Linked DNA regions of Macaca mulatta. The protein of the gene in region 1 binds, or shares a complex with, the protein of each later gene. Links are inferred from orthologs where the notes say so. Each region holds a gene or a part of one and is shown on either strand. Other genes may lie near its edges.

Region 1 (3,647 bases):
TCTCAGGCTTTTGTGTCACATGAAGAAAGAGTGTGAAGGTGCTTTGTATTCTCTACAGATGGCAATCTTGTCAATGTTTGCCTATTTTAAAGTCTAGATGTTTGTAGTTTTTCTGGTAACAACTATTTTGTGTGTTATTTGCAGGAAGTGAATATTGAATTTGAAGCTTATTCCCTATCAGATAATGATTATGACGGAATTAAGAAATTACTGCAGCAGGTATTGTCTTTTATTTATTATGCATAAATTTTCTCTTCTAAGAAAAATCGGGCTGGGTGCAGTGGTTCATGCCTATAATCTCAGCATTTTGGAAGGCCAAGGTGAGAGGATCACTTGAGCCCAGGAGTTTGAGACCAGCCTGGACAACATAATGAGAACCTGTCTCTACAAAAAAATAAAAAATTAGCCAACTGAGGTAGCACACACCTTTAGTCCTAACTCCTAAGGAGGCTGAGGCCAGAGGATTACTTGAGTCTAGGAGCTCAAGGCTGCAGTGAGCTATGAATGCACCACTGAGCTCCAGTCTGGGCAACAGAGCAAGCCTCTGTCTCTTAAAAAAAAAAAGATTCAGGTCATTCAATACAGGCTTTCTCAAATTCAAATTTGTAGAATTTCCATTTCTGTCCTCTCTACCTTGCTTGGAAGATAGAATTATTTCCTTTCATCTGCTAATTAGTTGAGCTATTTTTTTTTTTTTTAAATTCACAATTCTTATGTAACAGTCATATAACTGTGCTGTTTGGTGCTATAAAATTGATGCTTGCTGCTTCTCCTTATTCTTTTACTCATATAATATGACTCTGGTTCTTTAACCTTTATAGCCTCTACTGTCCTTTTCACCAAATTCTTTGGCCTTATGTTTATCCTCTCTTCTCCCTTTTTTCCTCCCCCTCCCCCATTACTTCTGTATTACCACTGACTGCTTTTCTGAAATTTCATAATCTTTAGCTTCTTTGACTCTCCTGGGCTTTTCTTTCCCTCTTGGGATTGCTTTTCTAGGTCATCTTCTTAAGTCACAGAAATTTCGTTATTTGTATTTGAATATAGGATTTGAAGTTATTAGAAATCATGCTTTGATCTTAATTTAAAATTTTTTCCTCCTTTTAGCTTTTTCTAAAGGCTCCTGTGAACACTGCAGAACTAACAGATCTCTTAATTCAACAGAACCATATTGGGAGTGTGATTAAGGTAAGCAGGACAATTGTGTTTATTCTGATTAAATTAGTTCTTTATTCTGTTCATGCTGGGCATCACCATGCTTGTAATCCTAGCACTTTGGGAAGCAAAGGTGGGAGAATTGCTTGAGGCCAGGAGTTCAAGACCATCCTGGGCAACATAGCAATACTCTGTCTCTACAAAAAATAACAAAAAATTAGCCGGGCATAGTGGCACCTGCCTATAGTCTTTTTACCCAGGTGGCTGAGGTAGGAGGATCTCTTCAGCCAAGGAGTTGAAGGCTGTGATGAGCTTTGATTGTGCCACTGCACTCTAGCCTGGCAACACAGCAAGACCCTATATCTGGGGTGGGTGGGGGAAGAGTTCTTATTCTGTTTAGCTCAAATTGGAAGCAGGACTACTGGAGGAAGGGAGACTGATCAGAAGTCATTGCAGAAATCCAAGCTTATTAAATGCAGTAGGCCAGGTGGTGGCAATGGAGAGGGAGAGAAGTGGGCTCATTTAGAATATATTTGGGAGATGAAATATGATGGGGTTTAGTCCCTGATTGGGTCTGAAAGTGAGAGGAAAAGGAGTCAAGGATGACTTCCAGGTTTCTAGCTTGAGCAAACAGGATAACAAACATGGAAGAAGGCCAGGTTAGGAGGGGGAATGTGAGTTTGGGTTTGTACATTTTGCGTTTGAGTTACCTGTGAGATACCGGGTAGCGGGTGGAGCCCTGGAGACTTGGGAGTTTGTCGTAAATGTTATTGAAGTCATAGAAGTGATTGAGATTGCGCAGGGAGGGAAGGGACAGACACCTTAGTAATACCAAGAATACTTGGATATCCGAGTATTGTAAGTGGCAGAGCCAGCAAAGGAGATTAAAAGGGATGACAGGAGAAGTACAAGAAACAACAGTGCAGTGATGTCATACATGGCAAGAAAGACAACATTTGAAGGAGGAGGGGATGGTCATCCTTATCAGATAGATGTTGTAGAGAGCTCAACAAAATAGGACTGGTTTGGACCCTGGCTCTGCTGCTTATCATCTGGTGGTTCTTTGGGTTGTCTGTTGTTTGTATAACAAACCACTTCATAGCTTAGTGTTGTAAAATAGCAACACTCATGTATTTGGCTCATGGATCTACAGTTTGGACAGAGCTCAGTGGGCACAAGTCATCTCTGCTCCTGCTCCATCATGTTAACTGGGGAGGCTCGACTAGGGGCTGGAGGATTCCCTTTCAAGATGGCTCACTCACATGACTGGCAAGTTAGCCCTAGCTGTCTGTTGTGAGCTTAGCTGGGACTCTGGACCAGGGGCCTTAGTTCTTGTCCATGTGGGCCTTGCCACATATTGGGTTGCTTCCAAGAGCAAGCAGCCCAAAAGAAGCAGGCAGAAGTGGTGATATAGTGCCATTTCCACCATTTGCTTAGTCAGTACAGATACAAATTTCTACCCAGGGGGAGGCCACATTGATTCCACCACTCCATGAGAAAAGTATCTAGGTCACTTTGTCAGAAGAGCATGTCCAAGAAGAGATCCACTGGGGCCATCTGCGAAAGATACAATCTGCCACAGTACCTTAATCTATTTCCATTTCTAGCTCTGAAAATGAGGATGATACTAGCACCTATCTTGTAGAGTGCATGGGTAAACAAAATGAGTTGCTGATTGCTTAGAACAGTGCCTGGCAACTGACAAGTGCTACATATGTGTAGCTGTCACTGTTGATGTCTTTTTCCTGTTCCCAGCACCTGTTCCCTAGCCTGTTGTGAAAAAGACAACAAAAGTTCCATTCAGTCTAATGTTCCACTCAAAGTACATCACCTTCAGAGCCAAAATTCTTGAAAAGTAATCTTAAGTCATGGTTTCTACTTCCTGTCCTCCTATTCATTCTTCAGACATTCTTATCTGACTTTTACACAACTAAAATTCTGACACTGAATGATAGGGTCACCAACATACTTGTTACTAAATGCAGTGTCCACTTTTCAAGGCTTCTGACAATATTAGTAACCTTATGGCACTCAATGTAAAGAAAATGAGAAATTAAACCTACAGGGGCTTCCTTTTATTAGGGCAATGGGAAAAAGCAGACCACCTGCCCTTTCATCAAATAAATGTGATTTCTAGCTGATTCGTGTCTTAGAAGACACTTAGAAGACCTAATGGATATGGAGAAGCAGCAGTTATTTTTATCCTTGAAAGAGGTTATCTAATGGCAGGATTCACCCTTTAAATGGATAATTACATCGATAGCTCTGCAGTTATAACTGGCTTCTTTGGCTTCTCCAGAGACACCTGAGGTGTCCTGAGGATAGAGACTTCTTGTTCTTAGTAAAGGGACTACCCACAGCATTCAGTGGAGCCAGTCCCTAGGATCATAGAACAAAGGGCAGGGGGGTTCTCTTTTATCCCTTCTCTCTTGCCCATGTGGTAGGTATAAGTGGCCCTCAGGCACTGCCCAGCTTCACTTATGGTCAAGATT
Region 2 (4,114 bases), on another chromosome or scaffold:
GGCATCTGCTACATAGGGGGCTGGCTGGTAATAGCAAGTGACATTAGCCACATTAGGAATGACATTTTGGTCAGCTAACACCCGGATAGCCAGCATGGTGATAAGGTTTAAAGTCTGTCTTCTTTCATGTCCCATCAGGCACACCGTGCTCTCATTCACCACTCCATGAAGGGTCATGAGATATTCATACTTGCGGTCTTCCAATCCCACAAAGTGGTTCTGCAAATAGGACTCCAGTTTTCTCTGCTGCTCTCCAATGTCTGAGAAGTCGATGAAAAACCTGGAACACATATACCTCTGAAGGGTCTTGATCTCATCAGAGGCGGGCCTAAAGCCCCTCACCAAGAGGTTGCAGTACTTAAGTAGGCCTCCCCCTCGGATTTCCTCTGGGTTCCTGGTGGCAATTATCTTGTTACAAAGGTGATCAAAGGCTTCCTGGAAATCGCCATAGACGCTCTCCCCAATTATTGTAGGGTGAAATGTCTCAGTCATTGGGTTCTCTGAACATTCGTAAAAGAGCAGAAGAGAGTCTAATTTGATTTGAAAAGAATCTACACTGAATTCAAACTGCCTCCGGAGGGAATCCACAAATTTCAGTTCCACATTTTTGCCACTGTTGTTTGACAGGGATATAAGACTCCATCGGTCAGAGTCATTGCACACTTTAACCATTTTCTGCACATAAGCTTCCTACAATTTAAAAGATAAAACAAAATGAGCAAACCTAGAAAATAATAAATAAATAATAAATAAATAAATACATCCTCTTCACAGCTGAGAATTATTTTGCTCTTTCCCTTTTGTTTTGTCAAGTTTCAGCCAAACACTACCTACAGGCTTAAACGTTCTTCTGAAAATAGAAAAAAAAAAAAATACTTTTAACGAGTAGTTTTACTGTCTGGGAAAGGGACTAGAGGTAATAGTTTGAGGCTTTTGGCAGACGTAACACAGTAGTAAGAGGTTCTGTTGTCATGTCTGACTTTTTAAGTGTTACTTTTTGAAAATGGTCTAATAGGCACAATATTCACACAGATCCAAACAACATTCAAAAGACTCGGAAGGGCATTCAGCGGTAGGTTAGTCAGCCTCACCCTTGTTCCAAGCCACCCAATTCCTCTCCTCTCCGCCTGCGGCAATCAATGTTATCAGTATCTTGTGTCCCTCCAGGGGCACTCTGCAGTTACAATCAAATATATAAACTAAATTATGACATTCTGGGACCCTGCCACCTCAGACAATTTTAACTAATCATAAAAAACCCGTCTTGAACTAAAGTGGAGGGTAGGGAGGGGGTGCCACTATACCCTTAACATATGAACCAGCACGGAGAACCACCAGACAGACCTTTAACACGGAGTCAACTGAATGCCGCTGTGAAATCTATTCACCTTTTCCAGTACAAGAAAAAACTCATTGACTCACTTCTGCTTCAGGCTGTCATTTTCCCAAAGACTAGATCATACAATGTCTCAAAAAATTATTTACATTATTTCATTCTGCCAAGTATCAGAATCTACTCTGGACAAGACTCCAACAGGGAAAGCCAAGAGTTAAAATATAAGGAGAAAGAAGAGAAGGGAGGGCAGGGGAGACCTGGGAGAAGAGTTGCAGCGCCAAAGCATCAAGTAAACGGAAACACACAACACCGTCCACGCACGTCAGTTTACTCATTTTAAAAATCAAAAATCAAAGAAATACGCGCGCCCAAACTCGTGATGGCCACAGATTCATGGCATGTAACCGACGCCCCTCTGCCCGCTCCCCATAACACCCGGTCCAGTCTGGGTCAGGGCCCAAGTGCATCTCGGGTGGTGTTACCTTGAGCGTGAGTGGTGTGATCTTCTCTTTGTTCACCCCCTCGGGTAAGAAGTCCAACAGGCAGTCCAGCACGACGTCTTTCACAGTCTGAAACTCCCCTTCCCCGCGCAGGTCGGCGCAGAAGATGAGGTCCAGGTCCTTGTAGCCCAGGCCGCTGTCCTGGTGCAGGACGTGGCTGGCGGCCGAGCCGTTGAGGCGCACGTCGCGGACGCCGATGCGCTTCTCGGCCAGGCGCCGCCGCACCACCTTCACGATCAGGCTCGGCTGCAGCTCGAGCGTGGGGAAGTTGCCGCGCCCGTGGATCGGAATGGTCTCGCTCAGGATGCCGTCCAGCCGCTGCACTTGCTCCCAGTTCAGCACATTGCAGTGCGCCGTGGGGCTTTCGCAATAGTCCAAGCAGTGCCCACCGAAGCTGCCGCCGCCGCCGAAGTCGCCGCCGCCGAAGTCGCCGCCGCCGAAGTCGCCGCCGCCGAAGTCGCCGCCGCCGAAGTCGCCGCCGCCGAAGTCGCCGCCTAGGGGGATGTAGGGGCCGCAGGCCAGCTCGTCCTCGGCCATGGCAAAGTACCCTTCGCCCTCCGCCATGTAGTGCCCGCCGAGCGCCACTTGGCCCTGGTCAGTCCTAAAAGGAAAGGGAAAGGAGCGCGGTGAGGACGCGCGGCGGCGGAGGGCAGAGGCCAACCAGGAAAAGAGCGCCCCCTCCCCCGATAGTTCCCTGGCCCCAGGCCTCCTCGGAGACTCTACCTCCCCCGGCCCTTACAGTCCCCAGCCGCGCACCGCCCCACGCAGAGCAGCCCCGCACCAAAAATATCTCTGATGCATCTGGAAAGCGCAAGCGAGAGTCCCGTCTGTGTCACCTGGAGGCGGCCGCCCCTTCTAGGAGCGAAGCGAGCGAGAGAGAAACCGCGAGGCGGCAACACTTCCAGGAGCTGCGAGTGCGCTCCGACAGCGACTAGCGACTTCGTCTTTCCCAGACCCCTGCCGCCTGCGCTCACCACTCCCTCCCCGCGCCCCCTCCCGCGCCGCTGCCACCCCAGCTGCGGTGGTCCTGAAGGTGGCGGCTCTTGCTGCCACACACGCTCGTGTCTCTGGAGCTTTAGCAGTTGTGCGGGGAAAATGTCTTCAGTACTTTTTTTATACTGGGCTTCTCTGCGCTTCCGGGGCCCGGAGCGGCACGCTCGCCACACCCTCCTCATCTGCATAGGGCGCCGCCCCCTGCCCGCCCCCTCCCGCAGGGCACGCAGCGGACTAGCCCAGCAGCTGGTGCTGGACGACGGCCGGTGAGCGCGAGGCGCTGGGCTGTATGTGCCGATACTGTGCGCGCCGGTAGATTCATATATTTATACATACATTTATGTACGCCCCCTCCCACAAATCTCTTTTCATTTTCCCCAGGAGGAGACACTTAAAATGCCCCAGGAATCATAACTGATCATCAAAACCAGATCGCGACTAAAATCCTGCAACTGCAGAAACTTCCCAAAATTCTCGCGGATACAGCCCTTCATGAGATTCCCACTGTTGGCCTCCGGAGGTTCCTCACTACTGCTCTTTTAAACCTCGGTGTCTAGACCATTTACTCCATTGATAAACCTGGTCCAAGCGTGGACTCATGAGTTCACTCGTGCACGCAAATCAGTCACGGCGCGTGAGTGGGAAGGGCTTGTTGATAACTGGGTTTCGATTCTCGAAACCTCGGGAAGCACGCCGGGGAGCTCCGGGCCAGCCGGAGAAGGCGCGGGGGCGGCACCACGGGCCTCGGGCGTGTGCGGCTCTTGCGCACGAGTGGCTCCAAGGGGCCGGTGTGTCTCGGGGGCCAAGGTGCGTCACGGAGCAGACGCGGGCGAGCAACCAATCGCCGAGGACTGGGCGGGCCCAGTGCCCCGCGGACAGCGCGCCCCGGGAGTGAGTGCTGCCTCCGAGTCCAGGGGAAGGGCCGCTAGGTGTCGGGTGCCTTTGCTGCGAGTTCTCAGTTCTCGCACAGAAAATTGGCAGCCAAGCGCGTTCCTCGCGTCCCACTAAGGTTTGGCCATTTTAAGTGCATCATAGTGTAGTGGAATACGATTTGGTTTCCCACGAGATGTAAAATAGGAGTTTCAAGAATAAAATGAATTATCCCATCCAGTTTCGGTGAATTCGGCAGAGCTAATTCTCCCCACGCTCACTCGCGCCGCCCACCGCTGTCTTTGCTAGAAACTGTGGCCCTCTCTTCGGCAGCTCTCTGCCTCCATCAACTATGCCAGAGCAGCTTTCCCAGCGCCTAGACGCTGCTGGGGACTGAGGTGGGGCAGAGGGGAGA
Region 3 (3,647 bases), on another chromosome or scaffold:
GCTTCTGCACATATGCCTCCTTCAGAGTGACTGGACTGATTTTGAGCTTGTTCACACCCTCTGGCAGGAAGTTCAGAAGGGAACACAGAACCACATCTCTAACCAGCTGAAATTCTGCCTCTGTTGGAAGAGCCACATGGAAGATTAGGTCCAGGTCTTTGCAGCCCAAGCCATTGTCTTTGACCAAAACGTGGCCAGCTGCAGAGCCATTCAGCCGGACGTCCTGCACTTTGATGCCTGCCTCTTCCAGCCGACTGCGGACGGTCTGGACGATGTCCTTCAGAGTTATCTCCAAGGTTGGAAAGTTGCCTCGTCCGTGGATAGGTACAACCTCAGTCAGGACCTCGTGCAGCCGGCTAACCTGATCCCAGTTGAGCACGCTGAAGGACATGCAGTCCCTGGTACAGCTGCTCTCCTCTGCCATCTTCGGGGGATGTTCTGGCTGGGGAAACTGAAAGTGAGGGGTGAGAAACAGAGTTAGGATTCGCTTCTACATGGCAAAGCAGCTCAAGGAACTCATTATTTAATCTCTGAACATCTTCCTATAAAATGGTGATAAATAGCACTTACTGCTCAGTGTTGCTGTGAGGACTCAATGAGTTAAATATGTAAAAAACAGTGACTCCGCAGAGAAGGACAAAAACACACAAACTCATTCCATATTACTTTAGATTACTTCATAGTTTTGTTTTGTTTGGGGTTGTGTTGTTTTGCTTGTTTTTTCTGGGTGAGGGTGGAGTGTGCTGAGACAGAGTGTGTTTCGAATGTGCTGAAAACAGAATGTTAGCAAACCGTATAGGACCGCAGAAGAATTAGTTACTTCTCCAGCTTTCTGGCTCCCTAACCACATCTTGACCTGTTTGACACCTAGGCTACAACACTCACACACAGAATATACAATACACACACACACACACACACACACACACATGACTTCCTTCACTCCACAAGTAGATGAATTCTCAACTTTGGGCTACCATCTCACCAATAAGTGGGAGTCCAACCCCTTCTACTGGAATAAAGCATGTTCCTTTAGCAAAATTCTCATGACAGGAGAAGTCTGTCCTAACAAGTACTTGTCATCTAGGGTAGAAGCAAGGAGTTGTTTTTACGACGAAATTTCTAGTCAACAAAAGGTTAGGTCACCTATGTGGTGGAACCACTCTTCCTAGGATGGATGCCCGACACAGGACATGGCCAACTTCCTCAGGGCAGTGTGTACCTTTAAGTGGACTTGGGAAAAAAAAATAGTACGTTAAAGCTACCCGAGGAGAATAAAGTTGGCACTGAGTACTAGGAGAAAACCACCACTTCATCTGCTAGGACCACAAAGTTTCCCAAGTAATTTTCAGCTACGTTATACTTATCAAAAAATAAAACACAATGGATCCCTGGAAATCCTAATATATAAAAGCAAATACTCATATATTAAAATGTCAAGGTGCCTGTAGAGCCACGAGTCGAATATTTGCTAGATGGATGTAAAACCCAAAACAAAGAGTCAAGGTGCTGTCCTCAGATTTCACTGTGAACAGTTTTCCCACCCCCTCCGCCTTTCTGACTTGCTAGACACACACAAAACCCATCCCAATGACTTCTGCAGTTTCATTGTTTGGAAGCTGCTGTGTCTGAACACACGTCGGCATGCATTCTCCTAGGGTTCCAACATGGATTTCTGGCCTTGCACCGGTGCCAGGGATCCCCTATGATTGTTACTTGGTTGTCAGGGCATTGCTAGGTACATGAAGATGAGCTCTTCAGGCTCTCCCATCAAGAAGGTAGTGAAAATATGAGGTATCAATACGAGGCAGTGTGTGGTGTAGACAACTCTAGTAGTAGAAATTAAATGTAATATAAAAGTAGAAGAAAGGGTGTCCCTGGTTGGGGTGAAGAGGAAGGCCACAGAGTTCACTTATAGAGAGGGGACACAAGCCAACAGAAAGAGAACATGAGCTCTTGGTTGGGGCCAAGAGGCAGAAAGCAGTGGGCTGAGTATGTGATCACAGCAGGATCTGCAGGACCTCTCTGGGGATGAGTGCTCTATTGCTTGCTACAGAGTACTCGTGGAGGGGAAGACAAAAGTGTCTCTGAACAGCATTAAAAAGTCCTAGGCTATCTAGATCATCTTACAAAGCACTCGTAGGTTATGGATCCCAAGCAAAATCTGTGATGAATAATGTGACTGGCATTTGGTTTCAAGGCAGATTTGGGATAGTAGAGTTCTCTTTTTGCCATATCCTTTAAACACTTAGCAGTTCTTTGTGGTCTCCCATGATTAGCACACAGTACATTTGTGTCCACTGTATGTGCCACACCAGTGGTCCCCAGCCTTTTTCGTATCAGGGACCAGTTTTGTGGAAGACAACTTTTCCACGGACGTGGAAGTGGGGGTTGAGAGTTGCAGCATGAACCTGTTCCTGTTTCACCCTCAGATCATCAGGCATTAGAGTTTCATAAGGAGGGCACAACGTAGATCCCTCACATGCTCAGTTCATACTAGGGTTCACACTCCTATGAGCATCTAATGTGCTGCTGATCTGACAGGAGGCAGAACTGCGGTGGTAATGCTCGCTCACCTGCCACTCATCTCCTGCTGTGCTGCCCAGTTCCTAACAGGCCACGGACTGGTACTGCCCCGTGGTCTGGGGGATGGAGAACCCTGAGCTACACAATTAAGTTCAAATAATTACAGAAAGTTATGGCACTGGCTTTACTGTGACCACAGCTAGACTATGATTTGGTGGCATGGGTTTTATAGATTTCAGGTACGTTGGTCTACCTAAAGAAATACAACTCACTTGCTACTGTGAATCACCTGTTATGCTTTCAAGGCTCATCTTTATGACACAGGCATGAGAAGTCACACGGCAACCAGAGGCTGTAATGCAATCAGTACTTGAGATACAAGCAACAATTTTTTTTTTAAATCTCCAGCCAGAACCTCAATAATGTTACAGAGGAGAATAACTATAGGAATACATTCTGACTCAAGTCTTTTTTTAAGGAGTTCTTCAAAAAGACGACTTGTAGGATTAAAGTCAGGACTACGCCTATGCTAGAACCGTGGTTCTGAACATTAGAGGAGGGACATCTGAGACTGGTGATAGTCTGGAAGCTATGAGCCTTTTTTTTTAGTGGGGGGAAGTACACCAGGTTGAGAATTTTCATATATTTTAAAGTATGTGAACTTCTAGTAGACTCAAAGTTAGAATTTGTTTTAGACAGAATTTGTAAGGTTCATATGGTAGGAGAGGCAGAAATAGCCAGAAAACATTGTGAAAAATAGGAATGATACATACTAGCCTGTAACAGATATCACAAAACCACAATAATTGAAATGGCATGTTATTGGCCCAAAAAGACAAATCAATGGAACAAAATTTTTTAAATCTAGAAATAAAATCAGATATGTAAAGGGATTTAGTATATAATTAAAGGAGGCATTTTAGAATAGTAAAGTGAAGAAAAACATCTGGATGGTTATCTAAATTATCAAAAAGAAAAAAATAAAAGGGGCTCCCTATTTCATGCCAAACTAAGATCGAGATTGGACAGATCAAAGACTGAATGTAAAAGCATGAAATTCTAAGAGTACTGAGGGGAAAATGCGTTTATATATACTTACACACAGTGGGTAGTTTTTTTTT

What was found.
Region 2: the proteins of BCCIP (region 1) and TENT5A are in contact, whole or in part, in a crystal structure (PDB 8EXE), measured with the Homo sapiens proteins. The link is inferred for Macaca mulatta from reciprocal best matches to the Homo sapiens genes BCCIP and TENT5A. Residues at the interface, in NP_510868.1 of Homo sapiens: Val57, Asn58, Ile59, Glu60, Phe61, Glu62, Ala63, Tyr64, Ser65, Leu66, Gln146, Val149, Leu150, Phe152, Cys153, Glu154, Lys155, Asn156, Cys157, Glu158, Lys159, Glu163, Lys167, Leu203, Ala204, Ala206, Thr225; in NP_060103.2 of Homo sapiens: Arg87, Gly88, Asp139, Glu151, Gln155, Lys158, Lys184, Glu185, Val188, Gln189, Lys190, Met191, Val192, Lys193, Val194, Cys195, Asn196, Asp199, Trp201, Asn213, Arg289, Lys295, Glu331, Arg334, Gln341, Asn342, His343.
Region 3: the proteins of BCCIP (region 1) and TENT5C are in contact, whole or in part, in a cryo-EM structure (PDB 8EQB), measured with the Homo sapiens proteins. The link is inferred for Macaca mulatta from reciprocal best matches to the Homo sapiens genes BCCIP and TENT5C. Residues at the interface, in NP_510868.1 of Homo sapiens: Val57, Asn58, Ile59, Glu60, Phe61, Glu62, Ala63, Tyr64, Ser65, Arg136, Gln146, Cys153, Lys155, Ala204, Gly205; in NP_060179.2 of Homo sapiens: Asp90, Asp92, Glu102, Gln106, Arg109, Lys135, Glu136, Val139, Gln140, Lys141, Leu142, Val143, Lys144, Val145, Cys146, Thr147, Asn164.

What each region holds. Positions count from the first base shown.
Region 1 is NC_133414.1:137,881,706-137,885,352, forward strand, and holds part of BCCIP (BRCA2 and CDKN1A-interacting protein), read left to right. Parts: intron 1-144; coding exon 145-219; intron 220-1,107; coding exon 1,108-1,188; intron 1,189-3,647. UniProt on the Homo sapiens protein: During interphase, required for microtubule organizing and anchoring activities. During mitosis, required for the organization and stabilization of the spindle pole.
Region 2 is NC_133409.1:104,076,823-104,080,936, reverse strand, and holds the start of TENT5A (terminal nucleotidyltransferase 5A), read right to left. Parts: upstream 2,925-4,114; 5' UTR 2,638-2,924; coding exon 2,618-2,637; intron 2,438-2,617; coding exon 1,819-2,437; intron 691-1,818; coding exon 1-690.
Region 3 is NC_133406.1:122,654,766-122,658,412, forward strand, and holds part of TENT5C (terminal nucleotidyltransferase 5C), read right to left. Parts: intron 452-3,647; 5' UTR 425-451; coding exon 1-424. UniProt on the Homo sapiens protein: Catalyzes the transfer of one adenosine molecule from an ATP to an mRNA poly(A) tail bearing a 3'-OH terminal group and enhances mRNA stability and gene expression.